Caenorhabditis elegans: one gene and its partners. The protein of the gene in region 1 purifies or fractionates together with the protein of each later gene. This does not show direct contact. Each region holds a gene or a part of one and is shown in the gene's direction. Other genes may lie near its edges. The genes, in order: txl-1, spig-9, Y43F8C.13 and rpt-5.

Region 1 (9,459 bases):
CGAGGCCAACTTATAACGGAAAACATGAGCTCGGTCTCTTTGACGAGCAGCGTCCAGGCGAATCCTCCCGTCGACTTCTGGCTTTCGGAGAGCCGGTTGAACTTGTTTTCTGGGGCTTTTCTTTGGGGAGAGCAGCTTTGATGGGCAGACTAGTGGAAGATCTTCGGTGTCGCCGTCGGTGGGGGATTTTTCGTAAATGTAGCCTCGTAGATCTGCAAAAAAAAAGGTTTTTTGTAAGCAGGAAACTTTTTTTTGACTAAAAATTGGGGTTTTTTCGAATTTTATAACTAAAAAATTGCGTTTTTCTGGGATTTTTTGAACAAAAAAAGGTGTTTTTTTCAATGTTTGGCCACAAAGATTGTGTTTTTCTCAGATATTTTAAACTAAAATATTGCGTATTTTTCGCATTTATGACTAAAAAATTGCGTTTTTTTCGGATTTTTGAACAAGAAAGGTGTTTTTTCGTATTTTTTTGACTAAAGAAATGTGTCTTTTTTTTTCGATTTTTCGACTTAAAATTGTGTTTTTTCCAGATTTTTTAAATTAAAAATAATTGTTTTTTTCTAATTTTTTGAACAAAAAATGGTGTTTTTTCCAATTTATAAATAGCGTTGTTTCGGATTATTTGACTGAAATATTGTGTTTTTTTTTCGGATTTTTTGAATAAAAATTCGGTATTTTCGGTTTTTTTTACAAAAAACGCTGTTCTATCGGATTTTATGACTAAAAAATTGAGCTCTTTCGGATTTTTTGAATAAAGAATTATCTTTTTTCCGATTTTATGACTAAAAAACGGTGTTTTTTTCCCGGATTTTTTTCTTAAAATTGAGTTTTTTCGAATTTTTTTACTAAAAAATTGTTTTTTTTTTGGATTTTTTAAACAAAAAAGTTTTTTTTTCGAACATCTGGTAAAAAGCTGTGTTTTTTCTTACTTTTTGAAGAGAAAATTGTGTTTTTTTTCAGTTTTTTTTTGAGCAAAGCTAGTATTTTTAGAATTTCCAAAAATTAATATAAAACCAGGGCTTTTTTTTTGAATTTTTTGAAAAATTTTCACATCAAAAATCAGTATCAGGAGCATGAATAGGGTCTGTTAAAAAATAGAGAAATATTTTATTAATCGTTAAATATTTTCGAGTTCAAAAATGTGTGGAGGTGATCAAACAGAGAAGAAAAATCGATAAGTCTTTTTAAACTTAAAAGAATGCTATTTTACGATTAATATAATATTTTTTCTATTTTCTGACACTAAATTTTAATGGAATACGTCAGAAATAGCTGATTTTTTAAATGTTTTTATTGCAAATTGCCAACCGAAAGCTACGAACCTTCCACGAGATTCGGTCGAACCTCAAGTTCATACTTCCCGCCCTGGCCGAATGCTTTTCGCTGTTCACGCATCTCAATATGATATGATTGAGGATATACATGAAGAATTTGTGACAAATGTTCATTGGAAAAATCCTTTCCAGACGTATTCTTAACATTCTTGATCAACTCAGGAACCACACAGCTTCGATTCTGACCGATAAAGATCGCAGTGATCTGATCGATTCGTTTGAAAGTATCAGCGAGATGTTCATACGCAGTTGGAAGTTCAATCCGTTGACGTGCACTCTCCTTAACTTCATCAATAAGCCGTGAGCTCTTCAGAAACTCTGCAGTCATTCGTTTTCCCTCTTCTTCGTGAGCATCATCCTGCTCTCCGCGAACTTTTTCGGCCGATTTCAGGACATTAAAGCCGGGAATAATATAGTCTGGAACTGGCTTCTTCGGTGAGAACAGATTACGAGCGGCCTTGGATTTCTGAGGTGATTTGTGATGCTCAACAATAACTGGTTTCTTCGGAGATTTCAGCAATTCCACGTGATCATCGACCTGCTTCGTTTTGTTCTTCAAATTTTGCTCATGAATCGCTTTAGCTGCTCCTTTTGCAGCTATTCTTGCTTGTAAATCTGCAACAGTTCGAATTCCAGCCTTCTTTTTCGCTGGGCCGGATGCTTCCATTAGCTTATCGATCGCTGACTTCTGAGGAGCCGGATTTTCCAGAATAATATCTTCATGGATTTTGGGAAGCTCAGGGGCTTCTGCTTCAGCTTCTCTAGCTTTTTTTGGCGGAGTTCCGGAACTCGATAATTCCGCTTGACGGGATGGAGTCCGAGCGCGAGTTCGGGAGGATTTATTCTCGACGATTGGAGCAGCAGGAATTTGTACTTCTTTAATTGTAGTGGTCTTTGTGATGCTTTCATCGATAATCTTCTTTTCTCCTCTTGCTCTCGGTTTTCTGGTGGTCTGAAAAAGAAAAAAAAACATTAAATAATTGCAATTCATAACTTCAAACTCCAATTTACCTTGAAAAAGTCGGTTACAGCAGTCTGCGGAGTCTGGGACCTGGATCTAGTCACCCGGGAACTCATTTTTATCAGGAATAAATAATAATTTCAGCGAAATTATTCGCGAAAACCAAAAAATAAATGGGAGAGACGACAGACAAAGCGTACACTTTGAACAGTCCCGGTTTCCCGCACTTTTTGTCCATTGGAGCGCGTTTGTTGTCCGCTGCGTCTCCACGCTTCGTGCACTCCCTCGCCGCACCGGCATTCATTTTGAATGCTGACAAATCCACGTTTCATGCCGATTTTCTTAATTTTCCGGAATTTATACTATTTTTTGCATATTAAAATTGTGTTCAGAGCGTTTAAAAGTGCTTTTCACCTATTTTAGCGTGTAAAATGCCCAAAATTACCCAAAAATCAGTTTGAGAATGAATGCATTTTACTGTGGAAACCTTCAAAAAATCTTTTTTTTAATGAATAATTATTTAAATTGGCGTGATTCCTATATTTTTTGAAATTTTTTTTTCGTTTTTTCTTCTGAATGAGATATCTTTTGCTCCTAGAACTATAAACTGAACAATTTTGGAAGCGGTGATCCCAGAAATTACAATTTTTCGGTCAAAATTTCCCCAGAAATCGCCCAAAAAATAACGAAATTTCACAATTTCTGCGTATTAAATAGCTAAAATATATTCGTGCATTGTTCCGGGAGTATTTACAATAGCTTTTGCCAGAAATCCCAAAAAAAATGATGCGAAAGCTTAAAAATTGGAATTTCAGCGGGAAAAATTCAACAAATTCAACTACAAAATAACAACTTTTTTCAAAACCCAATTTTTTTCTTTAATTTTTCTTTAGATTTTGGGGATTTTTCCCATTTTTTGAGATTATTTTGCATTTTTCGATTAAAAATCCGTATTTTAAAGGTGGCGTAGTCGAATTTTTTTAAAATTGCTTCATTAGACTCAAAATTGTCTCAAAACACCGAATTTCATGATGAAACTGCTTGAAAACTTCTCAAAAAAAGTTATGACTGCTCAAAAAATGGCCTAAAATTAGTTAAAATTTGAAATTTGACCGACTTGTCAAGCGGCTGGAAACTAACTTTTTTGAAATTACCGTCTAATTTTGAGTATACAATTATATTATCTTGCATTTTCAATTTGATTCAGATATTTTGAAGTCGATGGACGGCGAGATTTTTAAATTTTTTAAACCAAATCTCGCCGTCCATCGACTTTAAAATACCTAAATCGAGTTGAAAACGCAAGATAATTACATTTTATATATACTCAAAATTTGACGGTGATTTCAAAAAAGGTAGTTTTTAGCCGCTTGAAAAGTCGGTCTAATTTCAAATTTTAACTAATTTTAGGCCATTTTTTGAGCAGTCATAACTTTTTTTGAGAAGTTTTCAAGCAGTTTCATCATGAAATTCGGTGTTTTGAGACAATTTTGAGTCTAATGAAGCAATTTTAAAAAAATTCGACTACACCACCTTAAAAAAATAAGTGCAGTAATCTAAATATTAAATTAATTTTCAGCCCATCTCCCCTACACCATGCCAGTTATCAACGTGAAAGACGACGAAGACTTCAGAAATCAGCTTTCCCTCGCTGGTCTCAAGTCAGTGATTGTCGATTTCACTGCAGTCTGGTGCGGACCGTGCAAAATGATTGCTCCAACATTTGAAGCTCTGTCCAATCAATATCTTGGAGCAGTTTTTCTGAAAGTTGATGTGGAGATCTGCGAGAAAACCAGCTCAGAGAACGGTGTCAATTCGATGCCAACGTTCATGGTTTTCCAGAGCGGGTATGGGTCTCATCTGGAATTGGAATAGAAATGCGGGAAATTTGAAGAAATTGCAAAAAAGTGAAGTCTCAGAAATTATTTCATTTTGAATATCTTGAAAATATTGATTTTTGCAGGTTTTACGAGCCAATTTGCAAGAAATTTATGAGTTTCCAAATTAAATTTTTTAAAGATAATCAAAACAGGGCTCTGCCATTTTTAATATGCTATAATCCAACTTTTTGATCTAAAATTGATATAGAAATGTAGAAAAAATTTATGTTCCATCTGAAAATAATATTTATTTTTGTTGAAAATTTTGAAAAAGGCCTCAAATGGTGCGAGGCCTATTTCAAATTTTTCAAAAAAAATAAATAATTTTTTCACATGGAACAGACCTTTTTTAAATTACATTCCTATATAAAGTTTAGATCAAAAAGTTGGATTATAGCATATTGAAAATTGCAGAGCCTTGTTTTGATTAATTAAAAAAAATTTAATTTGGAAACCGATAAATTTCTTGCAAATTGGCTCGTAAAACCTGAAAAATCAATATTTTGTGGATATTCAAAATGAAATTGAAAAGGCTTTAAAAGCTTTACCCTTAGTAATTATTTCTGAGACTTAATATAACATTTTCGATTTTCCGGAAAATCGGAAAATCGAAAAAAAATCTTTTTCTGACAATAAAATAAACTTTATTTTTTACTAAATTTTGTTAATGTTCCTGAAAAAGAACATAAGAGAACATACATTTTTTTCTAAAAAGAAGAAAAAAAAGAAAAAAAATTGAGCTTTTTTTGAAAAAATAGGAAAAACGAAAAGTTTTCGATTTTTCAGATATCGCATAATCGAAAAAAAAATATTCACTCAACTTTTGTAAAAAATTCGAAGAATCAAATTTTCAGCCGTTTCTCTTATATTTGGAAAAAATTTAATTAAAAAAAAAAAATTAAAAAAAAATAAAAAATTCAGAAAACCTAATTCTATAATTTTTTTTCACAGTTGAGCACAAAATAAAAAATTGCAGAGTTTCGAAAAAAAAAAAGCCAAATTTTGCTAAAATCTGAAATTTCTCACACTTTTCTTTGTCACAGCTGCTGGATTTTAGTTTTTCTGGAATTATCACCCTCTAATCCTTATTTTGGTAATTTATCTCGCGGAAATTCGTTAATTGAGGCAACTTTTAGGCCGATAGGCATCCAAAAATTATCAAAATTGGATGCCTATCGGTCTAAAAGTTGTCTCAATTAACGAATTTCCGCGAGATAAATTACCAAAATAAGGATTAAACGGTGATAATTCCAGAAAAACTAAAATCCAGCGGCTGTGACAAAGAAAAGTGTGCGAAATTTCAGATTTTAGCAAAATTTGGCTCTTTTTTTTTAAATTTTGACCAGCCATAAAAAATTTTTGGAAATTTTTTGTGAAGTCTCATTATGAAATTCGGTGGTTTTGGACCAGTTTTAGTCTATTTAAGCAAAATACCCACAAACTCTACAGAGGTGGGCGGATATTTTTTTCGGATATTTTCTAATAATGAATTTATCAATAAGTATTGATGTAGTTATTCAGGAAGAAATGTATCCGAACAAAAAAGTAACTATTAAGCAACATTCTAATATGATAAAACCTAGAAAAATTCTACAAGTTTTCTGTATAAACGATATGCAAGTCCATTATCCGATATCCGTAATATCCGATATCCGATGTTGCTCGGCTAATAAGTTTTAAGGTCTCGGTAAGGAAAACTTGTAGAATTTTTCTAGATTTTATCATATTAAAATGTTGCTTAATAGTTACTCTTTGATTTGGTTACATTTCTTCCAGAATAACTACATCAATACTTATTGATAAATTCATTATTAGAAAATATCCGAAAAAAATATCCGCCCACCTCAGAAACTCTACTCCCCAAAATAAAAATTTGCAGAGTCCGCGTGGAACAAATGAAAGGAGCCGATGCAAAAGCACTGGAAACAATGGTGAAAAAGTACGCAGACAACTCGGCAGCCGACTCACTGGTTGCTGGTCAAATGGACTTGACACCTCTTGTCGATAAGAAACAAATGGAATGTTTGAATGAATCTGATGATACTCCACTGGGACGTTTTCTCGAAGGAAACTGCAATCTGGTTTCAGATTGTGATGAGCAATTGATCATCTCACTTCCATTTAATCAACCAGTCAAAGTTCATTCAATTCTTATTAAAGGAGTATCGGATCGTGCTCCAAAGAAGGTCAAAGTGTTCATTAATCTTCCGAAAACTACGGATTTCGATAATGCAACAGCTCTGGAGCCAACTCAAATGTTGGAATTTGATGAATCTTCTATTCAAGGGCACGGACAAGTCGTCGCGTTGAAATATGTCAAGTTCCAGAATGTTCAGAATATTCAATTTTTCATTGAGAATAATGTCGGTGGAGGAGATGTAAGTTTCGATAAAAATTACTTTGAAAACATTTAAATTTACTAAAATTTTACCCAAAACTATTGATTATGCTTTTATTTATTTATTTAATAAACGTATTAAATAAATAAAGAAAGATAATTAAAGATTTTCAGTAAAATCACGAAAACTCGCTTTATTAATGAACGAATTTCGTGAAGAAACTTCTCAGACATTATTGAAAAAAAAAAATTGAAATTTAGCTAAAATTAGCAAATTTTTTTTCGAAATTTTAAACCGCCATTTAAAAAATATTGAAAAATTGTTTTTAATATAAAATGTATTCCGGCGAAATTTCGGATTTTAACAATATTTTGGTTTTTTTTCCGATATTATTTTAGTTTTTGAGCTGCAAAACAATTTTTCGGATTTTTTTTGGAAGTCTCATTATGAAAATCGCCGATTTTCTGTAAATATTAATTTTCGGAAAACTGCCGATTTGCCAATTTGCCAGAAATTTTTAAATCTGACAATTTGCCGATTCGTCGTAAATTTTCATTTTCGGCAAATTGCCGATTTGCCGGAAATTTTTAGAGGGATTATTTATAAGACGGAAAAACTTAAAACTATGCCTTTTTGAAATTTTTTCCCCATTTTCTTTAGATATTTTCATAGAATTTGCCTACTTTTCAAAATAAATGTAGAAATATTCATAGGATGCGTACAATTTTGCCGATTGAAATTTAAATTCTGAAATTTCCAAAAAAAAAAATTTGCAAAACCGCAATTTGCCGTTTTTCCGGCAAATTCGACATTTGCCAATTTGCCGGAAAAATCGTTTGCCGCCCACCCCTGGTTCAGAGCAAAATTATTATAATTTTCCAATTTCCTCCAATTTTTTCCTTTTTTCCAGGTCACTGAGCTCGTCAAGCTTACAGTCTTCGGAACACCTCTGTCTGCTCTCAACATGAACGAATTCAAAAGAGTCGCCGGAAAAGCTGGAGATGCAGCTCATTGAGCCCATCAATCCTTCTTCCTATCAACTGATTGTGAGCCAACGAGTTATCCAATTCATTTCTCTAATTGTCATGTACCAAAAACCATACTTTCGCTGATCCCAGTTTCCATATTTTCCTTATTTATTTCTCGATTTGTGTATCATTTTTATTTTAATTTTAATTTTAAATTTAAATTTATTTTTTTTTCTCAGCATAAACACATTTCTCCAAGCTATCCTATTCAATTTTTAACTCGAAAAATGTTTCATTTCATCTAGATATTTCTAATTTAATTTAAAAAAAAGAAAAAATCTGAAATTTTCAGATGGACGTTGACCGGCTCATGCGTGACCTATCGGTCGAGCAACTGGAGAATATTCAGCAGAATTTGGAGTAAGAGAAGCGGGAATTCGAGAAAATTCGAAACAAAAGCTTCTCCTCGTGGAGTACACGAGGGCTGCGTAAATCGACACGTGGATGTGTTGAAGAAATTTTTGTAAAATGAGGAATCGGAAAAATTTGCTGAAAAAAATTAATTTTTTAAAACAAAAATTAATTGAAAATTAGAAATTTTTAATGTTTTCTGGTGAAAATTGGCTGAAAAAGTATTTTTTTTTCTCACAAAATTTTATTTAAAAAATAGAAATTTCAATTTTTTTCGCGAGAAAAATATTTGCAAATTGAAATTTCAAAAAGTTCAGAAAAATCAACAATTTCCAAAAAAAAAGTGATAATTTTCAATAAAGGGCTATAATCTTCGAAAAAGCTAAGAAAAAAGCAAAACTAAGAAATTTTAATGTTTTCTCGGGAAAATTGGCTGAAAATAAGATTTTTCGGGATTTTTTAAACAGAGTGTTATTTAAAAAATAGAAAATTCAATTTTTTCATGAGAAACAATTTTTTTTTAAATTTTCACATCAAAATTTCAAAATATTCATTTAAAATTGAAGTGCAAAAAGCGTATAATGTTTCCAAAAAAAGGTATTATTTCCAAAAAAAAAATCAAAATCGCTGATTTTCAGAAACTAATTTTTTATAAAGTCGAAAAATCGGTAAATTCCAAAAAAAAAACACGATAATCTCCAAAAAAATCCTTAGTTTTCAAAAAAAACAGTGATAATTTCCAATAAAATGCTATAATTTTCAAAAAAAAAACGATAGGTTTCAGAAAATTCAATAATATATTGAGAAAGTCAAAAAATCGTAAAAATTCCACAATTTCCAGCAAAGAAAGCTATAAGTTTAAAAAAACGATAATTTTCAGAAAAATCGATAATTTTCGAAAAAAAAACATTTTTTTCAGAAAAGAAATGGAAGGAAAACGAGAAAGTCTCCGTGAAATGGTCGGCCGTCGGTATCGAGATGTTCTAGAAGCTTCTTCAGAAGTTCGTCACGTGTGCTCTTTGGCTGATAAATTGGCCTCAGATATTGCAAATACAAGAGTTGGATATCAATCCACTCATGTTAGGTTGGAAATATTTCGCAAAATTTGAGTAAAAACTCGGAAAAAATACGGCAAAAAATTCTATTCAAAAAATTGGAAAAAATTGAATTTTTCCAAATTTTTAAAATGGTTTTTTTGAGAAAATTTCGCAAAAAAAACTAATTAGGAAAATTTAATTTAATTTTTCATTTTCAGACATTTTACCCCGAAAAAAATTGCTGAGACCCTAAAATTTGTCTAAAAATCGATTTTCTAGCAAAAAATTAGACTTTTGCGGAAAATATTTAATGCTAAATTATCGATTTTCAGACAAATTTTAAATTTTCAGCCGTTTTTTTAACAGAAAAAAAATGACTGAAAACACGAAAAATATGTTTAAAAGCAAATAATAATAATAATAATAATAAATTAATAAAAACCAATAAATATAGCCGAAAAAACGCTCAAATGCCGAAATTAGATTGCGCGGGAATTCAAAAACCATTAATAAACAAAATTCTTCA
Region 2 (6,564 bases), on another chromosome or scaffold:
CAGTCTTTTTTGAGTTTCCAACGGATTCTGCGACACTTGATTTGGGCTATCAGTTTATGTGGGGCTCCGGTATTCTTGTGGCTCCTGTAGTTTATCAAGGAGCAGTTTCCACAAGCCTTTATTTACCAAATGATGTATGGTACTCACTTTTCAATTATATGTATGGAAGTAGAATCGACCCAGGATTCATAACTGTTCCATCTCCAACCACTTCTAGAATTCCAGTTTTTGTTAGAGGTAAGATTTTGGTGTCGGATTACTGTAGAAGGTTTTTTGATTACGGTTACTCATTTAAGATTACATGAAATTAAATCTCTATTTCTCCTTTCAATGAAAACATGATTGTATTTAATCTAGTTTGAAACTTTGTTCAGGAGGCTATGTCATTCCACGCCAAACTCCGACTACAACAACAACAATGAGCCGATTGAACCCCTTCGAGCTCCTGATTGCACCTTGCCAACTTGGTAGAGCTGCGGGAGTTCTGTACTGGGATGATGGTCAGAGGATTGTGGACTCATTTGATACCCATGACTATCATCAGTTCGATTTTAAGTTCAACTCTACGATTAACGGTGCTTCGTTGGCCATTACAAGAACTAGAAAGGTTTGTGAATTAAAAATTGACTTTTTCTATACATGCAAATTTACAGGGAACAACTGTTTTACCTACATTGGATATTTTGGAAATCTTTAACTACACAACACCTCCGAACTTCCGATCGTTCCGTTTGAATGGGCAATCTATTAATGTCAATGTGCAGACTTCAACATACTCTGGAATCACCAAGATTCTAAACATTTCAACAAAGAATTTTATAGATTTGACTTCTTCTGATGTGATTACTCTGGAATGGTCAAACATGTGATTTTTTGATTGTTAAATTTTTTGTTAAACCAATAAAAAACTTTTTTAAAAATCAATAAAGTAAAGATAGTTCGTTGCCGTGTTAGCATTGCAATAAAACAAAAAAAAAACAGTAGATCCACGGAAACATTAAGTTTGCGCCCTTCTCTGTAACCTCAAGAGGTGTTCAAAACCTGACCACCTACTCTCGATGTTACAAATAGATAATTAAAAGTAGGACAACATAAAAACCGTTCCTAAGCCTCCCAGATTCAATCAACATAAAAAAGATGCGCCCATTCTTTATTGCATTCATTCTTTTTTCAGCTATTCCATTGTCTTTAATATTTAATAATATCTATCAAAATTATAAAAATCTAAAAGTTCTTCGCAAAAATGAAGCTGAATTTCATTGGAGTCATATTGTGAAGTATGAAGAGTTGAAGACAGCTGTAAGGAAACTTCCTGATGGATACGGAGTTATGCTTTTGAATCGACACGCTGTAAAAATGACTTTGAATTGGTTGTGCAATACAAAAAGTTTTGTGGGTGTTCACCAGAAAATGCTATTCTTAGTTATGGATAAGTTTTCGGAAGAAAGTCTTCGAAAAGTGTATCCAAGATTGAATATTGTCATCTGGTTGGCACCAGTACTTCAAGTGAGTTTTGAATTTAAAGGCGGAGTTGTTTGTTTGTGGAGTTTGATTAAAACAAGAGAACATTTTGAAAATAATACAATTAAATATTCTGAAATTTTTATTCTGAAATTGTCTAGGGTTCTCTAGCGCAACTAATTTCCTTTTTTTGTAGGTTTTTAAAAAAGTATTGTATAATGTTGATACTTAAAACTTAAAATCCTTAGCTTCCATCTGAAATATTTTTTCAAACAAAAAACATTAATTTTCATCACGTGATTATTTTCAGAAAACATTCCGCCCATATGACATAACATACATGAGCTTTTTCCTAATGAGAACCAATATGATTCATGCACTTCAAAAACTTGGAAAACCGTTTTGGATGCTTCAGGCTGATACAGTTTGGCGTGATAATTTTCTTAACTTGGTCGATGTGAGTAAATATGAGAATAGTGATATTCTTCTTGATCAACAAGGATTCGAAGGAACCGCTGATATTCGGTAATAAAATACAGTTGTTAAATATGATTGAAACGATTGATTGGATAATTTCAGAAAAAGAACAATGAACGGTGCAAACTTCTATATTCCCTCAAAATCTTCCAGTCAGTCTTTAGTAGAATCATGGTTATTTTGGCAGAAAAGTGTGTATATTACTGACCCAGATCTTGTTAAAATGTTTTGTCTCCGTGGAGATTATTCATGTGATTATGTTCCATACAGGTATGGCTACCAAAAAAGTTGATGATTCAAGGTTTCATATTTTTAAATTCAATTTAACTTAAAATTTATCCAAGGCATCTTAAATTTTAAATCGATCTTCTAAGCTCATCAAAACTGTTATTTTCAGTCTGGTAACGGGATGGGAATGGATTTACGGAGACCAGAAAAACCCACCGATCATGATTCAAATGGACGGAGAAACTGGTGGAAATAAGGAGAAAGTGCTTGAAAAATATAATTTCTGGTTTTTGGATAAAAATGACAGATGTAAAGCAGATAAAGTTTCAAAAGGAGTTCAACATATGGTTGATGGAACTGTGCCACGGATTATGACGCAATCAAAGAATCGCGAACAATTTTATTTGAAACTCGGAGAATTTCTCAATCAAATTCCAGTTTTCGGACATTATTCCAGCATTTATGGAGGACTCACGTCGCTTTATTTACAGTTTTTCTGATTTTTAATAAAGTTTTTTGAACGTTTTTATGGCAACTTTTGTGATCGCCAGAAATGCCAAAAGTAACATACTATCGCAAACCGTGCTTGCTAAATTTAATAAAATATAATTCATTAATTTAAAAAAAAACAGAAAAAAGTCAATTGAGAAAAATCGCAAGAAAAAACATTATTGGTACTTACACATTCAATGTGCAGTTTTTTTTGTGTATTTATTCCCAAAAGGTTATCTTAAAAAATTACTTGAAGATACTGTTATTCAATGAAGGATTGATGTCTGAAATATACAAAAGTTCTCATATGTCTTCTATTATTCGAACATTTCACTAAATTTTTTATAAATCAAATGCCCTCTAGGAATGTCCAACAAATCAAAACCTATTACTTTTGTTCCCCTGGTTAGTCTCTCCCAATTAACACCAAAGTTCATCTCTCTGTAAATCCGCCTACATAACCATATCGATCGAACAATGATCATTTTTCATACGATAATCCGGCAGTTTCCATGTACCAGTTAATCCGTTAGTATAAAATAACAGGTAGATTCCTCATTTGACGATTTAAATCATTTCAACATGAACTCTATCTGGACATCTCTTTTTGTAGCAATTCTCGCTGTTTCCGTTATTGCCCTCAACGAGAATGGTAAAGTTACTAATTTAATTTTCGATTTTAATTGATAGTTCTTTAGAAAACAATTATCTGCAAGAGTTGCTCGATGCTGGAATTTCCCAGGAAACCGCTAACAAGCTTGTAGACATCACAGCCAGCCACAACAACGATGGAGAAATTTCTGAGAAATCAGGAAAAACTATTTTCCAAGAAATCATTTCTGAGACTGATGCAGCTATCAAACAAGCACCAGCTAATGATCAGGTTAGTATTTAGTTCAAATGTTTGTCTCCCAGGAGTATAAGTACCCATTAATTTCAGCAAGCCTACAAGGCCTTCGTTGAAAGCAAGGCAGCTGAATTCGGTCAACCAGACGAGATTTCCATTCAAGTTGAATCTGATTCCGAATAATTTTCTAAAACTCAAGTATCGTCTGTATTACAATCTATGATTGTTCGTAATTTTTATTTTTGAGTAAAGTGTTATTCTTCAGTTGTGTGAACTAAATTTTGAACTTCCAAATTTTCCAAGGCTGAAACTAATGTTGTCCTGTTCAGTTGGCAGCCAGAAGCCAGACCACAAAATATGATTGATCTTTGAAAGCTAAATCTTCCAGAATCAATCCTCAAAGCTTCAAAAATCTGAAAATCAAAGATGAGATAACAAAGCTTTAGTTTTGAACGAGCAAGTGAAATAATGGACTTTCACTTTCCCTGCTTTGCAAGAAAGATTTCAGTGTTCTGGATTTAAGTTTTTAACATGAAACTTTTTCATTAAGACTACAGAAAAGGAAAGAATTTTTCAAGTTTTTAGTTTTTGAATATATCGACAGTGTGTTTTATACCTGCTAATCTTAAGTTTGTCGGTCAAATTCTGTGGTTTTTTTGCTATAAATGAGAGAAAACAGTCCCAATCAAGGGTGTCAAGTCCCGTGTCCCGTTTGTCCCGTTGTCCCGTTTTTTGGGTGTTTTCGCGGGAACGGGACATCCGTTGTCCCGTTTTTGTAATTTTTACGGGACATTGACACCCTTGGTCCCAATATACCAAATATAACTGTAAAAAATTCGTCGAATTTTTCTAGATTTTTAATGATCTTTTCAATTTCCAAAAAAAAGAGCTGCATTATTTTCAAATTTCCGCACAAAGAGATGTAGTTTTTAACATTTTAAGCGTTTTCCAGCAACACTGATACGCTTTCCTTTATTTATTCTTTGAAAAATTAAGAAAAACCAACCAGAAATGCCGTAAAACGCAAAAATATTGAAAATAATTCAAAAATAATTCAGCTCTTTTTATTTTTTTGAAACGAAACATCATAAGAAATCTAGAAAAATTCAAAACATTTTTCATCTTCAATCGTAAGAATTTATTGAACTTTATCTGTAAAGATGTTTGCAGTTAAATTTATCTGAATTCAATGTTTGTTCAAAAGTTGTAAAACTATTAAAACCCCATTAAATTTTAGCATCAAAAACCAACAAATAATTTTCCATCAAATTCTTTGAGCTGGTAAACTTTGATTTCACAATGCTCTCGCTCCTCCCCTTCGTTGCGTGGGTAGTCTCTGAAAATCAACAAAAAAGCTTTCAGACTTCATTGAATTTCTTGGTTTATAATCCCGATTTATTTCGACCATCACTCCATTCCCACAATTCACGCACTAACCGTCCTCTGGGAACAAGAGGCGACGACTGCTGGAGATATTCCCGCGCGGACGCATTCAACTTTTTAGCGTTAGCCATCTCTAGTCTCCGTCTCTAATTCCTCATTGTAGGCTTCCTCATTCTCTTGCTGGATACGATCCAGGTCACAATGTCTCCGCACTCTGCGTCTCTCTTCTAGCAATTATATTTCTCTCGTTTTTGCCGCTTCAATCCATCGGATGCCTTCTCAGCTGCTGCACGTAGTCCTTCTGTTGATTTCGAAATTCTTTGTTAGTATGCACTTTTTGAATCTCGACCGCCTCCTCGAATGATATTCTTTTGAACCATGGTTGGTTTGAACACGACTCTCGTTTCTATTCTCCACTTTTGATATTTCTTTGCAAAGAAAAAGGTTTTGCTGGTTCAATGAAATCTAGGCGATCTTGAACTTCTGCAATTATTGCACTTTTACCATATCTGACACACTTTTTCTGCAAAAAGACGTCTATAAAAAGCATCCCCACTGATCATCGAAATTGAGATTGTTGTATTTTTATTGATGCAGTTAACAAAAAAAACTTTATATAGCATTTGTAGTCCTAATGTTGATTTTTTAAAGAATTTTCGATTCATAGCTCATTTTTTTGAAATTTCTCGGTTTTTTAAATAGCTGTTTTTGCCATTCTTCTTGTTTATTTTTCTATTTTCTCTGAATTTTTAAATAATGCATTATCTATTGGAACATTTTACTGATCAACTTGCCCAACATTTCTATTAGGAAACTTTTTCATTTCAAATCCTTATTTTCTTATCAATCTCTCCATCAAAAACACCTTTTCCTTCATTTTTTGTATCTTCTTCCCAATGCAATAACATCATTCACACAATTCCTCACAATTCGTGACATTCCTGACATGTACGTGACATTCTAGACTGGGATACTTTCCTCAGTCTAGTTGCTTGTAGTATCTGTAAAGTCGTGTAAATAGTTTTTCTCAAAGTTTTCCCTGTGTACCAAAGGCTTAAAGTCATCTCCAAAAACTTATACTTTTCAGAGCAAAGCCCCTTCACCAGGCCAATTATTTTTAGTTTGTTTCTAAAAGTTACACAGTAGTGTCACTACATCTGTCTTAGGTTCTCTCGGGCAATCTTTCAGTAAACCTTTTCTTTGAGTATGTTCCCAAAAAGCTATCCATAGTGGCACTTGATCTATTCTAGACTGTCTCAGACACTTTTCCTCCATAGCTCTACTCTAATCTGACATACTTCACACCTAACCGTTCAGTACGAATAAACCTGTTGGCTATTGTTTTTTGATCAATTTTCTGCGTTCTCTGAAGTACCGTCACATCTGTTTGTCAGTCAGCTTGTACCAGCTGTTTTTTGAATCTCAGAATGTTCCCTGACACCACTCCCCCAGATGATATCATACCAATTCACTTTCATTATCAATTAATTGCAGCAGTACAGAAGTTTTCTATCTTAGTTGTTGACTAAACTATTTGAAAGACCACGCAATTTGCCGAGAATCATCGTGATATTATGGTCATCTCGTGACCGATTGTCCATTTTTATATTCCCTACTGAAAAAATAACCTACAAAACTGTTACTTCTCCGCCTAAATATATATTCTAAACCGCTCT
Region 3 (9,305 bases), on another chromosome or scaffold:
ACTCAGGGAGCTGGAGAAGATTTTCCTGATTTTCTGGAACTCCAGAATCTTGAAATGTTCGGTTTAGGGTGCTCTCCTCGTCGTACTGCTGGGATTCCAGATTTTCAGAATTTTCAGCATTTTCCAGCACCTCATCCAGCACCAGAAGCTCTTGGAAACTGCAAAAAATATCGATTTTTTACCGATTTTTGACGAAAATATGCTCGTCGCCATTTTGTGGGCTCCAGAATATCGATTTTTAGGGAACATTTGACTGAAAATTACAAAATTTGAGCGAAAATAGCTCATAACCGTTTTGTGGGCGTGGCCTGTTAGGCTCCGCCTTTTTTTTTTTGAAATTTTGAAGTGTCAATTTGTGTTTTTTCCTGCAAATTTTTTTTTTTTTTTTAGTATTTAGATAACAAGCTCCACCCATTTGGTGGGCGTGGCCTGTTAGGCTCCGCCCTCTTTTTTTTTGAAATTTTGAAATTTCAATTTGTTTTTTTTGCTGTAATTTTTGTTTTTTTTTAGTATTTAGAAAATAAGCTCCGTCCATTTGGTGGGCGTGGCCTGTTAGGCTCCGCCCTCTTTTCAGGCAAGAATATCGAATATTAGAAAATTTTTGACTGAAAATCCGAATTGATTTTTTTTAATTGATTTTTTCGCAATTTTTGCCGAAAAATCGCTAATAACCATTTTGTGGGCGTGGCCTGCGCGGCTCCGCCCCTTCTTAGGCGAGAAAGTCGAATTTTCGGTAGTTTTTTACTTAAAATTCGATATTTTAACAAAAAAAAGTTGGGCAATTCAAAAAATTGTCTCAAAAACCTCAAAAATTTCTGCAAATTTTCGATTTTTATAGGAAAAAATTAAAAATTTGAATTTCGCGGCTTTTTTTTGGACATTTTAGATTTTTTTTTAAAGGAAAAATGTCAAAAATGGCTACAAAATTTGAATTTTTTTCGAATTTATAGCATTTTTGCCGCAAATTTTCGTACTTTGCCACGTCATCATCGGAATTTTCGAAATTTTCAGATTTTTTGGAAATTCCAACGTCATCAGCCACGTAGAGCTCCTCTTTATCCATTTTTTGGGCCAAATTTCGCAATTTCAACGGTGTGGCTCCATATGGATAGGCTCCGCCCACATTTGGAGCATTTTGAGCATTATTCGAATTAAAAACGACAGCCTGGGTGCCACGACGACCATGAAAATGACGTTTTTCGTACGGTGAGATGTATTTTTCCGATTTTTTGGCGAGAATTTCCGGAATTTTGGAGGATTTTGAAGTTGGCGGTGGAGCAATGTGTTCTGGAAGAAAAATGGGTTATTTTTGGCGGGAAATTTCGAATTTTGAAGATCATTTTTGAGAAAAATGTGAAAAGTTGGAAAAACTTGAATTTTTTTTTCGAAAAAAAATTTTTTTTGCAAAAAAATTATCGTTTTTTGGAATTTTTTTAAAATTCGCTCAAAATTCGTAAAATTCCCAATAAAAAGTGAATATTTCGAAAAAAAATTTTTTTTTAATTTTTGAAAAAAAAAAAAATTTTTTGAAATTTTTTTTAATTCTTAAAAAATTTAATTTTTTTCACAATATTCCTTAAAATTAGCTTAAAATCACAAAATTCTAAATTTTAGCGATTTTTCCACCGAAAATTACAGAATTTTAACACAAAATCCGACAATTTTGGTGGTTTTGCTGGAAATTTAGAATTTTCCAGAGGTTTTTCCGTTTTTTCAGGATTTTTTAGAGAAAATTTTCGAAATTCACCAGAAACTCAATGGTAAATTGCCAATTAAAATGAAAATTTTGAAAAAAAAAATTTTTTTGAATTTTTGGAAAAAAAAATTTCTAAAAATTAGTTTTTTGCAAATTATAACTATTTTCTCTGAAAAAGTCCAATTTTGCAAATTTCCACTCAAAATTCAATTTAAACCATAATTTTCATCCGAAAACTTGCGAAAAATCCCATTTTTTCTGGATTTTTCCCAAAACTTTTGGGATTTTCCGATTGTTTTTTCTAAAAAATCAATTTTCCATGTAAAAACTGTATAGTTGGTGTGTTGACAGTGCAAATAAATTAACAATACATGTGAATTTATAAATTTGCATTTGAATAGGAGAAATACCGGGGGAAATGGTTTTTTTTTCTCATTTTCCTCAATTTTTCTCAATTTTCCCCATTTTTTTCCAGTTTTTTCGCATTCCCCTATCGATTTTCTCAATTATCGATTGATTTCCGCACCATTTTCAAGACTTTCAACCCTTTGCGTGGGCGGAGGTGGGGGCTTCTGCTCCAGCATGCCGGAGCACTGATCGAACGCGGCGACGAGATCACGAATTCGGCCGCGTGGCACCGGTTTGCGCCACGTAGCATCTGACGGTGGTGTATCGACGATCGGGTGCGGCATCCAGCGGTAGAACTGGAAAAAATTCGGATTTTTTGTGAATTGTATCGATTTTTCCGGATTTTTGCCCTACCTGACTTGATCCGATTGGCACCGGAGTTGGCGGCATCGATTTTCCGTCGAAATTCTCCATTTTTCGTCAAAAATCTCCGAAAAAACGGCGAAAAACCGTCTAGAAATCGCAAAAATCGATTTTAAAAATTCAAAATTCCATCGAATCCCTCACATCACTGAATTCGTGGCGAGACCTATTTGAAGTTTTGAGCTATGCGCCTTTAAGAAAAACCGTAGTTTTTTCGCGAATTATCGCATTTATGCGGAATTACGGCGAAAAAGCGAGAATAATCGAAGAAAATGCGATAAGAATTGATAAAAAATGATAAGATTGTGTGCATTATTCAGGTGACAGATTGATTTTTGCCCAAATGTTGCGTTTTTTGCGACGAGAAATAATTCATATATTTATTTAGTTATTTTAAGTTTAATTTTTTCACTTTAATAACATTACGCTCTTCAGAAAAAAGACAACATGACTGTGGACAAGGTTAAGCTGGTCATTGGTGAGTTAAACGGAGAATAAAAACAAATTTAAACCAATTTTTGAGTAAAAAATTCTATAAAATTCGTTAAAACTCGAGTTTTTTCTTTTCTTTTTTAAAATTTCTACTTTTCTACGTTCAAATACACCGAAAACGTATTAATTCCGAAGATTTTCGTTAAAACACTGGAAAATTCGAGCTTCCCGCCAGAAAACTGAGTTTGTCATTGGAGCGTGATTGCATTGCTTGGCGATTTAAAAAAACGAGTCTAGACGCTTCAATAATCGATTTTTTCGGATTTTCAGATGATAAACGAGAATTCTAATTTAAAAAAAAACAAGAAGTCTTCAAATTTTCCACTTATTTTCGTCAAAAAACACTTGAAAATTTGAAATTAGCGTCGGAAAACGGACTAGTTCACTGGAGCGCGCTTGCTTAGCGAGTTTTATCGATTTTTAAAGTTTTACATAAAGTTTACCAAATTTTAAGCTTTAAAAACAAAAATTAATCGATTTTCAGACTCTGACGGTGTAAGCGACGACGTGCGAGCCATCTCCCTAGCCTTGCAGCACCCAAAAGCCGAAATTCTCGCATTCACCGCAGTCCACGGCTGTGTGACAGTAGATCAAGCCTGTGCGAACATCAAAAGAACCATCCGAGCCAACGATCGGAGCAATATCCCAGTGTACAAGGGTGCGGCTAAATCGATTTTGTCGCTGCCGAAGGATGATACCGTATCCGATTTTTTCGGGATCGATGGGATCGGTGATAAGCCGGAGGAGTTCCCGAAAGTCGAAAGATCCGATTTTGAGGGGGAGGGGAAGCATGCGTCACTTGCTTTAATCGATATTTTGAGAGAGAATCGGGATGCCACTTTGGTGTAAGTTGAGGCTACAGTAACCCTTCTGTACCCCCACCGCATCCCTACAGTACCCCTACAGTACCCCCACAGCGACCTACAGTACCCTTGCACTATCCCTACAGTACCCCACAGTACCCCTGCACTATCCCTACAGTACCCCACAGTACCCCTGCACTATCCCTGGTACCCCGGACAGTTCCCCTCTAGTATTCACGCAGTAGTGTTACTGTATCCCCACAGTTCCCCACTGTGCCCTTGCAGTAACACTACAGTATCCCTACAGCAACTCTACAGTAACCCTATAGTACCCCGACAGTACCCCAACAGATCCCCTACATAACCCTACAGTACCTCTGGTAACCGAACAGGTACTCACACAATAGTGTTACAGTACCCCTACTGTTCCCCCCACAGTACACACACAGTAACCCTACAGTAACCCTACACTAATTCCACTAAAGCCCTATGGTACCATAACTGTATACCTACAGTATTTCTACAGTACCCCTACAGTATCCCTGGTACCTGGACAGTTTCCCTACCCTACCCCAATAGACCCCCTACAGAAACCCTACAGTACCGCTTCAGTACCCCTACAGTACTCCTACAGTACCCCTACATTACCCCTATAGTACCTCAACATTACCCTTTTAAAGTCCTACGGTACTCCTACAGTATCCATACAGTCCTCCTACATTTTCGCCTACGCCGAGCTATTCTGGGTGTCAAATTTCGATTTTAATCTATTTTTGCTCAATTTTCCCTAAATTTTCAACAAAACCATTTTTCAGAACCATCGGTCCCCTCACAAACGTGGCGATTGCTCTCCAACTCTGCGAGGAGTTTTCGACGTACCCATCCCGGCTGGTAATCATGGGAGGAAATTATTACGCGGTCGGAAATGTTGATGGAGGTAGGTTCTTCAAAAAAAAAACTAGGGTGGACCACTTTGGCGGGCCATATCTCGTTTCATTTTTGAGATATTAGAAAAGTTTCAACTATAAACCTGTTCAGAAACATGTAACAAACATTTCATCAGTTAACAATTTGTTGACAAACCCAAAACCGACGGAGATACAGACCCGTCAAACCCCAAAAAGCCCCCCTAATTTTTCCAGGTTCCTCAGCCGAGTACAACTTCCACGGAGACCCGGAAGCCGCGAGCATTGTGCTCCGACGTATGAAGTGTCCCATCACCATTGTTCCATGGGAGGCATTCTATTTTGAATCAAAGACCCATGATGCTTCAGTTGATTTTTCGGCTCATTTGAAGTATGGAACCCCATTGGCTAATTACTTATCGCTGGCCACCAGCATTGGTAAGGTTTTTTAAAGTTATAACTCGAAAACTAGGGTAGATACTAGATACCAAAAAAAAACTGTCAATTGGAAAGTTGTTCAGCGTAAAATTCTGCATTGATTTGACCCCCATGTCGATAATTTTCAAATTTTCGAATTTGACACTTAAAATTGCTCGCGGAGCTCCTAGCCTTTCCCAATGCTTCAAACGTATTGAAATTTCGTTTTTCGGATAACCCGCAAAATCCTACACCCAGAAAACTCAACTTCCAGCCTTAGCCAGCAGTTTTGTAAAGGGGTCGAAGTGGCTCAACTGGGTACATGTACGGCTTTGGTGAAATAGGTCCGGGCTTCTCGAGGCCCCGCTAGTGTGTCAATAATTTTTTTAGAGTTCGAAGGTCTGTAGATTAGTCAACAAGTACATTTTTTTTTTAGAGTTCCTAAATTCGATTTGTATGTTCCAGGCCGCGTAAAATGCGAGGCCAACGGCCGCCAATACTCCTACTGCGACGAGATCGCTGTGGCTACTGCAATCGATGAGGATAAAATTGCAAAAAAGTCTCAGTACCTGTATGTCGATGTAGAGCTGAATGGAACAAAGACACGTGGGCAGGTTGTGGTTGATTGGACCGAGCAACTGTGGTCGAATGAGGAAGCTCCGAATCAGGTGAAAACAAAAAATCTGGGGTTCTGTATAGTTTTTGAGGCATAACTCGGAAACTAGAAGAGTTATCAAAAAGTTGCCAACTGAAATGTTGTTCAGCGTGAAATTCTGCATCGATTTGACCCCCATATAAAAAATTTTCAAATTTTCAAGGTCGATACCCAAAATTGCTCACGGAGCTTTTAGCTGCTCATGGTGTTCCAAACTTATTTAAAACATGATTTTTGGGTTCCCCGTAGTATTCTACATCAGGTACGGTTGAATTCCAGCCTTAGCCAGCAATTTTGAAAATGGGGCGAAGTGGCTCAGGTGGGTAGATTGATGAGGCTATTGTGAAATAGGTCAGGGGTTCGAATCCCTTTGGGTTTATTAGTATTTTTAATGTTATATACAATAGATATACAACACTCAGACAGTCCAAAATCTAGATATTATCAATTTTTTGTTTAATAAACCAATTTTCAGCACACCCATCGCCGTGTCAAATTCGTCACCTCTTACGACGTTCATACTGTGGACAAGTGGCTTCATGCAGCCACTTCTGGAAGTGGAAAATTCGATTAACTCTTTAAAACTGTAAAATGTCACATTTATTGCTCTTATTTATGGTGTGTGTGTGTGTGTGTTGAAATTTGCAATAAAAAGTTATTTTTTAATGAAAATTATGACTTTTTCGAAGCATAACTCGAAAACTAGAGTAGATATCAAAAAAGTGTCAACTGAAATGTTGTTCAGCGTAAAATTCTGCACCGAATTGACCCCCATTTAGAATATTTTGTAATTTTCGAATTTGACACCTAAAACTGCTCGCGGAGCTCCTACCTGCTCCCGGTGAACCAAACTGGCTGAAAATCTGATATTCAAAATAACCGTGAAATTCTACACCAGGGACACCTAAATTCCAGCTTTAGCCAGCATTTTTGAAAAATGGTGAAAGTGGCTCAACTGGGTAGATGGACGGCTATGGTGAAAAAAGCCAGGGGTTCGAGTCCCCGCTAGTGTCAATAATTTTTCCAGGGTAATGCAACATGCAGGCAGATGTTTTAATGGAGAACATCAGAAATTTCAGCTGAATTTCGCAAATTTCAGGTTTTTCAAATAGTTTTCCGACTAAATCGCAAATAACTGAAAAACTAGAAGAGTTATCAAAAAGTTGCCAACTGAAATGTTGTTCAGCGTAAAATTCTGCATCGATTTGACCCCCATATCAAAAATTTTGAAATTTTCGAATTTCACTTCTAAAATTGCTCACGGAGCTCCTAGCTGCTCCCGGTGCTCCAAACCAGCCGGAAATGTAGTTTCCTAGTTTCTAGTAAAATTCTACATATATAAAAAACTCAAATTCCAGCCTTAGTCAGCATTTCTGAAAAAGGATGGAAGTGGCTCAACTGGGTACATGGACGGCTATGGTGAAATAGGTCCTAGGTTCGAGTCCCCGCTAGTGTCAATAATTTTTACAGAGTTAGTTGGCCCTCAAAATAGTCGAAAATCTAGCAATATACTATGTTTTTCGCGAAAAAATCAATTTATTGTTCTTCTACTTAACAGAAAACGGCTAAAAATCACACAATTTCAACAAAAAATGGGTAATAGGTAATAAAATATGAGTTGAAAGAGAAAAAAAGGGAGAGCACCGGTTTCATTTTGTGTGAGAAGTGAAACTTTTCGTGAAATTTCCAAAAAATTGAGCATTTTTCGGGAATTTTCGGGGGTAAAAATTGGGGGATAAATATGAATTAAAGCTTTGAAAATATTAATTTTTGGGTGTCAATTTGTGTCAATTTCACTCGTGTTTGTCCTGTTCCGCAGCGTCGGCGACCATTTTTGCGAAGGCGCTGTTCTTGTCGGCCATTAGGGCGTCCGGTGTGTCGAATTCCAGAATTGAACCCTTATCGAGCACCATTATTCTGGAAATTTGGGATTTTTCGGGGTTTTATGAAAGGTAAAATGTGGGGGTTTGCGTTGGAATATTCATCGGGAATACCAACAAAAAAAAATTTTTTTTTCAAAAAATTCCAGTTTTTTGGGTAAAAAATCCCAATATCAGCGGAATTTTTTGAAGATTTTAAAATATTTTCCAAAAAAAATTTCGATTTTAATTCATTTTCTGAAAATTTTATTGACTTTCAGACAAAAATTTCCATTTTTAGCCACTTTATTAAATCAATAAATCGTAAAAATTCGATTTCAATAGAAAAAATCGATAAATCAAAGAAATTAAATTCAATTTATCAGAATTTCAGACATTTTCAGACAAAATTTTGGTAGAAAATTGCGATTTTTACGGACTTCTTCAGGCAGTTTGGGGTAAAATCGAAAAAAATCAGTATTTTTTTTTCAATTTTTGATTTTTTTTAAAGAAGTAAAATTATCGATTTTTTGGGAAATCGATAAATCGCAAAAAAATTTTTAGATTTATCGATTTTTCATAAAAATTGAAAAAATTATTTGTTTCAATTTCGATGCTAATTTTTAAAAAGTCAATAAATTTAACAATCTTCGATTTTTAAAAAATCGATAAAATTCGATTTTGCTAGAAAAATCGATAAATCAAAATTAAAGTCAATTTCTTTGAATTTCAAGCATCTTAAGGCGAATTTTTATGTCGAAAATTACGATTTCCACGGTTTTCAGTCAGTTTTTGGTTAATTTTTCGAGTTTTTGGAAAAAATCTATAAATCTAATTTTTTTCCATTTTTTCATAAAAAATCGAAAATCGGAAAAAAAAAAATTTTTTTTCGATTTTTTTTTCGAAAAATCGATAAATCTAATTTTTTCAATTTTTAATATTGAAAAACGATTTTTTTTTTCGATTCTAATAAAAATCGAAAAATTCCCGATTTTTATAAAAATCGATAAATCGATAAAAATTAGATTTATCGACTTTTCAAAAAATTGAAAAAAATTGTTTTTTTTTTTCAGTTTTCGAAAAAATTAAAATATAAGATTTTTATAAAATTCGAAAAATCACAAAAAAAATTAGATTTATGGATTTTCAAATAAATTGAATTATTTTAGGATTTTAAAAATCGATAATTGTAAAGGTTATCGATTTTCAAAAAAAATCGATAAATGGAACAATTTTCGATATTTGAAAAATCGATAAATTAATTTTTTAAAAACTCGATTTTAATAGGAAAAAAAATCGATTTATGGTAAAGTTATCGATTCGATTTATGGTAAAGTTATCGATTTTTGACAAAAATCGATTTCAAGCATTTTCAGACCAAATTTCGGTCGAAAATTACTATTTTACGGTCAATTTTCCAGATTTTTCAGTCAAAAATTCTCAAATTTTCAGTCTTATTCAGTAGTACCTATCATAATCCATGATAGTATTCAATCGATGCGCAATCGTGAATACTGTACACTCTTTGAACTCCTCTCGGATAGTCTCCTGAATCAGAGCATCCGTAGCCACATCGACAGCCGCCGTCGCTTCATCCAACACTAAAACCCGAGTATGCCGGAGTAGAGCCCGAGCCAGCGCGACCAATTGCCGCTGTCCAACACTCAGATTCTCGCCGGCTTCACTGATTTTATAGAGAAGACCGTC
Region 4 (7,303 bases), 2.5 Mb from region 1:
GTAGTTTTATACATTAATTTCCACTTCTCAATTATATTTACATTATCACTCCACTTTGCTAGCTGGGAATCGACAGTATCAAGAATAACTTCAAATGGTGCATGCTCAATCAATTCCTGAGTCGCCTGGTCTGATGTGTAGTCGACTGGAATTGCACCAAGTTGCTTCACAATATCGAAACTACAATTTTTATTTGAAAAATTGCAAAGATATAGATAATCTAACCTGCCCTTTGCACACGTTGCCACTATCTTTTCACATCCCCATGCTTTCAATAGCTGGATTGCCATACTTCCAACTCCTCCGGCTCCTCCATGAATCAAAACTCTTTGTTGTTTGGCATTTCGTTGTGAGACCCTGGCTATTGTAAAAGCTGAGTAGGCTGTCGATGCGACGTAAGGAAGTGCGGCAGCTGATACAAAGCTCAAATTGCTGGGCTTTTTAGAGCAATACTTCGAATCAGTGACAACAAACTCGGCATGTGTGCCTGGAAGAATTACAGGAACAACAGCCATAACCTGAAAACATACGATATTTAATCATGAATCGATGCATAATAGGATTTCGTTACCTCATCACCGGGAGCTAAATTGTGCACATCGCCACCAACAGATTCTACAACAGCTGTACAATCTCTTCCTGGAATTAGAGGGAATCTAGACGCGGCTGCATCACAGGACTCTATTTTTTTCCACGTCCCTAGGAATTCTCTACCGTATCCTTGAGACATGTCAACATCGATCGGATTAACAGACGCTGCCTACAAATATTTAAATTGCTTGAATCAAGAAATATTAATCTCACTTTAACTTTTAGAAGGACTTGTCCTGGTTTGTTTATGACTGGAAGCGGCACTTCTTTGAGCTCAACTCCAGATCCGTTTTCAGAGACCCATGCACGCATCGTTGATGATTTTGTTGAGAAAAATCTTCGTAGAATCATTTTTTCGATCATTTTGCTGAAAATTTCATGTGGAAATAACTTTTTTCTGATAAAAACAAATAAAACTGCACGAAGACTTCAAGTGTCGTAAAATTAAATGCCTTCTGTGTGGTTCACCGCGACGCTAAATTGCACAAATCATCCTTTTCAAAATTTCTCGTTCTTTTGGATTCTTTATCATTTACTGAAGGCTAAAAAGCTTATTATTGTTTTTTTTTAAGTTTATATTCAAAATTTTTTATCTTGAGAACTCATTAAAGATATTTTGAAGATAGTAACACAAATTTTAAACTTTTTTAAATAATATTTAGCTAGCCAAAACAGATTTTGTGGACGGAACGTAAACCTAATAGTAAGCTAAATACTGACGTAACCTTTGGGCCATCGTGAAATTATCAAGTCAAACTTTCTTTTATTCTAATCATTATTTCTCGTGATAAACACTTTCTCTCATTGTCACTCGCTCAATACACATTAGCGTTCGTTTAATTTTTTGAACTAAATATTCTCATTTACACCGCATTGTGTTACTGATTTTATTTTATTGTCCAGAACTTTGACTTTGCGTTATTCTCTGGAACTACTTTTCAGATCTCACCAGAAGCAATTACAACTAATTTTCAGGCCCCAGAAGCAGTACAATGTCGCAAACACCACCGCCAAAAGACGGAAAAAACCCAGAGGCAATGGAGGTGGAGGATGCTATTGATGAGGAGATTCTGAAAATGTCGACGGAAGATCTCAAAAGCCGTACCCACTTGTTGGACAACGAGATTCGTATTATGAGAAGTGAAGTTCAACGTATCAATCATTCTGCAACCACTCTCAAAGAACGGATCAAGGAGAATACTGAACGTATCAAAGTTAACAAAACTCTTCCGTACTTGGTGTCCAACGTTGTCGAACTTCTTGATCTCGAGGATAATACAGAAGAAGAAGGCGCAAATGTTGATCTCGATGCCCAAAAAACCAAGTGCGCAGTCATTAAGACTTCCACTCGTGCCACATATTTCTTACCAGTTGTTGGACTTGTCGATCCAGATGAGTTGAAGCCAGGAGATCTCGTTGGTGTCAATAAGGATTCATATTTGATTCTTGAAAAATTACCAGCAGAATATGATTCTCGTGTGAAGGCTATGGAAGTTGACGAACGGCCAACTGAACAATATTCCGATATCGGAGGATGTGACAAGCAAATTCAGGAGCTGATTGAAGCTGTTGTGCTTCCAATGACTCACAAGGATCGATTTGTTAATTTGGGTATTCATCCTCCAAAGGGTGTGCTCATGTATGGACCACCAGGTAAGATTACGAAAAATTTTTGATAAAGTAGTACTCCTAGAAAATAACCATTTTAATTACAACAGCTCAAGTGTAAATTATTCGTTTTTCAGGAACTGGTAAAACGATGATGGCCCGTGCGGTTGCTGCCCAAACTAAATCAACATTCTTGAAGCTCGCAGGCCCACAACTTGTTCAGATGTTCATTGGAGATGGAGCCAAGCTTGTTCGTGATGCTTTTGCTCTTGCTAAGGAAAAGGCTCCAGCTATTATTTTCATTGATGAGTTGGATGCCATTGGTACGAAGCGATTCGATTCAGAGAAAGCTGGAGATCGTGAAGTGCAACGTACCATGTTGGAACTTCTTAATCAACTTGATGGCTTCCAACCAAATGATGATATCAAGGTAAGCTGAGTTCCATTTTAAGTTATATTTTTAAGACGGTATAAGCTGTAAATATGAATTTAAGGTCATTGCTGCAACGAACCGTATCGATGTGCTCGATCCCGCTCTTCTTCGTTCTGGTCGTCTCGATCGTAAAATTGAGCTTCCCCATCCGAACGAGGATGCCCGTGCCAGAATCATGCAGATTCATTCCAGGAAGATGAATGTCAAGTATGTTTTCGCGACAGTTTTATTTGTAAAATTTAGTCTAATTAATTTTTTTCAGCAAGGATGTAAACTTTGAAGAACTGGCCCGCTGTACCGATGACTTCAACGGAGCACAATGCAAAGCGGTTTGTGTTGAAGCTGGAATGATTGCTCTTCGACGAGATGCTACTGAGATTCTTCATGAAGACTTTATGGATGCTATTCTGGAGGTCCAGGCAAAGAAAAAGGCGTCCCTCAATTACTACGCTTAATCCTTCACTCCCGGTTGTCACTGTGTTCCCTTTGAATCGCTCCCGAATTTTCTCACGCGATTTTTTCTTACTTTCATCTTTCGTATTCTATTCCCACCCCTCTCCTGTTTTTATTGATTCATCCTCGAAGTGCGTGGATTCCTAATTTATTTCCGATCAATGTGCATAAATGGTCACTCTTCGAAATGTGTTTCTTTCACTGTTTCAACATTCTGCGTGCTCTTCAAACATTTAGCGAGACATCTCAAATTGTAACTTGACCGATCCAGAAGTCAGTACTGACGTCAGTGAAACGTATGCAGAGAAAAGCTAAAGTGCAATCGCGCCCCAGTGCCAAATGGAAACGCTCCGCCTCTTTCATTTGGGTCTCGTTAGATAGAAAGTATTTTCTTTTTTGAAAATATTTATCAATTGAAATATCTTTACAATTACTGTTATCAATTTCATTATTGAATAATGCGAAGTGTATCAGATAATTATTTAGTAGTTGCACATGAAATTGGGGATCCTGTAAGCATCGAATCTTCGGAACCAACACCTCTTTTGAACCACTCTCCATCGATGCAGAAAAGTTCGGAAAGTATAAAGGGATTTTTCTCGAGCTGTAAATATTTGTATTTCATTGATTATCTTTCTGAAATAATTTTAATCTTACAGGTGGTGTATCTGTTACCAATTCTTTTGTCTTATGACTATATGCTACTACTTTTGATTGCGGAGGACACAAAGCAGAAATTGCATTACAATCTGGATAAGTGATCTCAGGTCGATTGAAAACAAAATGAGAATAATTATTGTAGACACGTTCATTTGTCTTTTTGAGCCATTCACTGTCAAAAGTTGGCCGTAAGATGCACCCACATCCTGAAAATTCGAATTATTGATTATTCAATCTTTTAAAACATTATTGTGATTTTTTATCGTATTTTCACAAGATTTTGGCAAGCTTTCTATAAGGCGCACGGATTTATTCTGATGGGTGGTAACGCGCCAAAAGGTTTATGGTAGTTATTTTCAAGCAATTTTGCGGCGGTTTTCTATTCACGATAACTAAAACATAAATGAATAAATACATTAAAAAAATTACAGGTTGTTCTAAATTTGTTGATATCTTAATTTTTTTTTAAACTTGCCTATCTAAAAAATTATTTAAAAACTCAAACGCATGTTCAAAACTGAAAGATTTTTGAAGGGGGTTCTCAAAACGTATAGGAATTCATAATATTTTGAAATAGATATTTTAATAGATTAAAAGGCAAAAATCACGAAGAAAAAGAGTATATTAAAATTCAAATCTTGTGGTGTTTCCAGCCGAGAAAGTATTTATATTTCAGATAATAAAGTATGGGACACCTGAGAGTCATTCAAAGCTGGGAGAGAAAAAAAACTGAATGGCTAATAAAAAAGTGGAAACAAATTTTCTGCCTAGATAGTCCTTTAAAAAAATTATGTGCTTGATTGAAGCTCCTGAAATATTTGTAGTAGAATTCGTAAAATATAATTCTGCTCAAAATACCAGGCTGAAATTCAGAAGTATTGCAAGGGAAAAACGAAACAAATTAAGAAAGAATATAAATTCCAAGATTTGAAAACATCTATCTTCAAATTAAGTTTCCACTAAATTGAGAACTGCAAGACCAATAGTCCCAATCAGATTAAGTGTACTGAGTTAAACTGGTTTGAGTTCCCATTAACAGTACTACTCTATATTCAAAGAAATTTTTCTGCACTGAAATAAAAAAAAAACAAAACTATTTCAAACAAAATTCATTGATCATATCTTCCATTTAACATTTGACCATTCCATAGTTCGCTACCTTCCCAACGTGGACTGCATGCTCTCATTCTTCCTTGATCTTTCAGCTTATCAGTAATGAATATCCTATAAATTATATATTTTTTTGTCAATTGACCCTATTGAAATTTTAAAATGCTCACTCATTTTTAGAAATCGTCGTATTGTAATAGAGAGAAGTTTCAAAACATCGAATTTTCCTATTGGAACTACAATCGTGAGAGATTTGCACGAACATTGTCAAATTTTCCTGTAAACTTGAAAGTCATGCATAGTTTTTTAAAATTAAAACTAACTGGTTTCTCAATACTTTCCGAAATTTAATCGGTGGTATGCCAACTCGAACGCGATGCTTTTCGCCTTCCGGATAAAAATAATCCTTATTTTCAAGTTCTCTTGAAAAATGAATTAAGTCAGTGATAATACATCGTGAGTGATTTCTGAGAAGTTGTTCGTACCTAAATATTTGTTTTAAGATTCACTGTTACTTGTGGATTTAGTTCTCTTCAAAAAATCATCTGGAATACTACGCTGATTGGTCCTACTAATTTTTGGAAATAAAAGCCATAGAAATATTTTACAATAAACTCACATAGGCTCATCTTCAAAAACTTCGATGAAAACGCAGACACGTGGTATATCACTACCACCAAAATCACATTCCATATCAATTTTAATCGATAATTCATTGCAATACATGGCCAAGATGGTGATTAGAATAATGATTCCATTGAGATATTGAGAAGAATTCATAATTGTCAAACGACAAAGTAAAACGAGAAATGGAAAATGTTTAGCGAAATGATATTTGGAAATTGAAAAAGTGGAAATTTTAATTTTGATAAATTATTTATTGAACTTAATTTGTTTTAATAGATTGTGAAAAACAGAAAGAATTGGAGAATAGAGCAAGTGCCCAGTATTGATTAAAGTATGCAATTATATTGATCACGACGTCAAAGCTTTCATACTTTCAGCCTCTTCACTTGACAAACTCGAATGTGCCTAAACCATGTTGTCTTCAGACTGAAAAGTAAATGACTAAAATTTCAACAAAAATGGCAACAATGCAAAAACCTACCTTATCATATACTGATGGTGTCTCCAATTTTTTAGACGGCTTGAGACTTTTGCTTCGTTTTTGATGCTTTTTATTTTTTGCCGAATGACGCTGTTTGCCAGGAGGAACACCTGAAACTTATGAAGTTTGTTATGCAAATAAAGAAGCTACAATGTTTTTTGAGCATCAAATTTTCACGAATATAATATTGGGCACAAAAATCGGACTTACTTTCAAGTGTCATACCAATTTCCAAGCATTGCTGATATCTGCATGCTTCACACTTTTTCCATTCCTTCACATCCTTTCGACAAAATCCTTTACGCTGACATTTCAGTTCTTTTTCATTTCTAACAACATCAAAGAAAGCCTCCGTACAACTATTGCATATTCTAAATATTTTTCTAAATTGCAGGTTAACACATCAATTAAATTATAGAGTGTAGAGTTTGAAGACACTTATTGGGCAAAAAGTGGGATTTTCATTTTGGAGAAAATTAAAACAGGAATAGGAGCTAAATTTGGGAAATAACGTTTTCGTAGGTAGATTTAATTTGACTGTTATTCCGACAGATTAGAACATTTAAAGTATAATGATGTGAAATTCCCACGAACGCAATTCCGCCAAAAATCATTTCACAGACTATATATTTTTAAAAATCTTACCTCATAGTTTTCTTAAACGCATGTCCACGTCCAACGTTCAATACAATATCCCAAGATTGATGTCAGCAAAATAAAGACCACGATTGCTGCTGCACCACCAACATAAGCCCAATCAATTGATTCTTCTTTCGATTCCAAAAATCTCAAGAACTCTTCTTGCAAGTCTACCATATCCGATGGAGTTTTCACGAAATTAGTATAAACAAGATCCCAGTTGATTCCAAATAATCTTTCAAGTACTCCTAATGATGTTTCCATGTCTTTCATGGGAACTTCTAGGTATCTCAAAGATTCTCTCATTTTTCTAAAATCAAATTGCATTGAAAATGGAATATTTGAGACTTCTTTGTAAATTGATCCAATTTGTGAAAGGTTTTTCTCAGTTCTGACAGATATCATAAAATCATCCAGTTTCATTTTATTACTTCTAAATTTCTCCAGGCTTTTCTTCAACTCCGGATATTTGCTCCAAGTCTCTTCAATCTCTTGTTTAATTTTCAGATGAGTTATATTCTTGATAGCTCCTAGAACAGCTTCACCGTTATTGATCACAGTTTCCAAGTGTTCACTAATATTTGAAATCTTACTAATAGTTTCCAGAGAATATGCAGCAAATGCAAAGTTTAGCAGTTTTTCTGGAGTTCCTTCGAATTTCTTAGACATTGGAAATGATACATGTTTTCTATCAGATGTAA

Evidence for each region.
Region 2: the proteins of txl-1 (region 1) and spig-9 fractionate together in Caenorhabditis elegans (co-fractionation; one large-scale study listed by BioGRID). This does not show direct contact.
Region 3: the proteins of txl-1 (region 1) and Y43F8C.13 fractionate together in Caenorhabditis elegans (co-fractionation; one large-scale study listed by BioGRID). This does not show direct contact.
Region 4: the proteins of txl-1 (region 1) and rpt-5 fractionate together in Caenorhabditis elegans (co-fractionation; one large-scale study listed by BioGRID). This does not show direct contact.

The regions. Positions count from the first base shown.
Region 1 is NC_003279.8:3,225,554-3,235,012, forward strand, and holds txl-1 (Thioredoxin-like protein), read left to right. Parts: upstream 1-3,877; 5' UTR 3,878-3,894; coding exon 3,895-4,145; intron 4,146-6,057; coding exon 6,058-6,556; intron 6,557-7,427; coding exon 7,428-7,532; 3' UTR 7,533-7,733; downstream 7,734-9,459. Other genes in the region: cdt-1 (CDT1 Geminin-binding domain-containing protein), read right to left, coding at 1-212, 1,326-2,289, 2,349-2,414; cogc-1 (Conserved oligomeric Golgi complex subunit 1), read left to right, coding at 7,838-7,905, 8,816-8,980.
Region 2 is NC_003283.11:13,608,541-13,615,104, reverse strand, and holds spig-9 (Minor capsid protein), read left to right. Parts: upstream 1-3,219; 5' UTR 3,220-3,240; coding exon 3,241-3,310; intron 3,311-3,356; coding exon 3,357-3,541; intron 3,542-3,598; coding exon 3,599-3,688; 3' UTR 3,689-3,768; downstream 3,769-6,564. Other genes in the region: F53F4.7 (Nucleotide-diphospho-sugar transferase domain-containing protein), read left to right, coding at 1,138-1,506, 1,772-1,986, 2,041-2,208, 2,336-2,666.
Region 3 is NC_003283.11:19,690,996-19,700,300, reverse strand, and holds Y43F8C.13 (Nucleoside hydrolase), read left to right. Parts: upstream 1-2,902; 5' UTR 2,903-2,914; coding exon 2,915-2,945; intron 2,946-3,443; coding exon 3,444-3,804; intron 3,805-4,577; coding exon 4,578-4,699; intron 4,700-4,904; coding exon 4,905-5,105; intron 5,106-5,549; coding exon 5,550-5,752; intron 5,753-6,214; coding exon 6,215-6,313; 3' UTR 6,314-6,401; downstream 6,402-9,305. Other genes in the region: ani-3 (Anillin-like protein 3), read right to left, coding at 1-158, 975-1,287, 2,223-2,400, 2,459-2,518; Multidrug resistance protein mrp-7, read right to left, coding at 7,533-7,656, 9,067-9,305.
Region 4 is NC_003279.8:5,737,835-5,745,137, reverse strand, and holds rpt-5 (26S protease regulatory subunit 6A), read left to right. Parts: upstream 1-1,566; 5' UTR 1,567-1,583; coding exon 1,584-2,244; intron 2,245-2,336; coding exon 2,337-2,629; intron 2,630-2,693; coding exon 2,694-2,839; intron 2,840-2,894; coding exon 2,895-3,087; 3' UTR 3,088-3,270; downstream 3,271-7,303. Other genes in the region: rad-8 (Reticulon-4-interacting protein 1, mitochondrial), read right to left, coding at 42-180, 226-518, 572-760, 805-954; F56H1.10 (uncharacterized protein), read right to left, coding at 4,855-4,969, 5,026-5,139, 5,179-5,340, 5,475-5,635. UniProt on the Caenorhabditis elegans protein: Component of the 26S proteasome, a multiprotein complex involved in the ATP-dependent degradation of ubiquitinated proteins.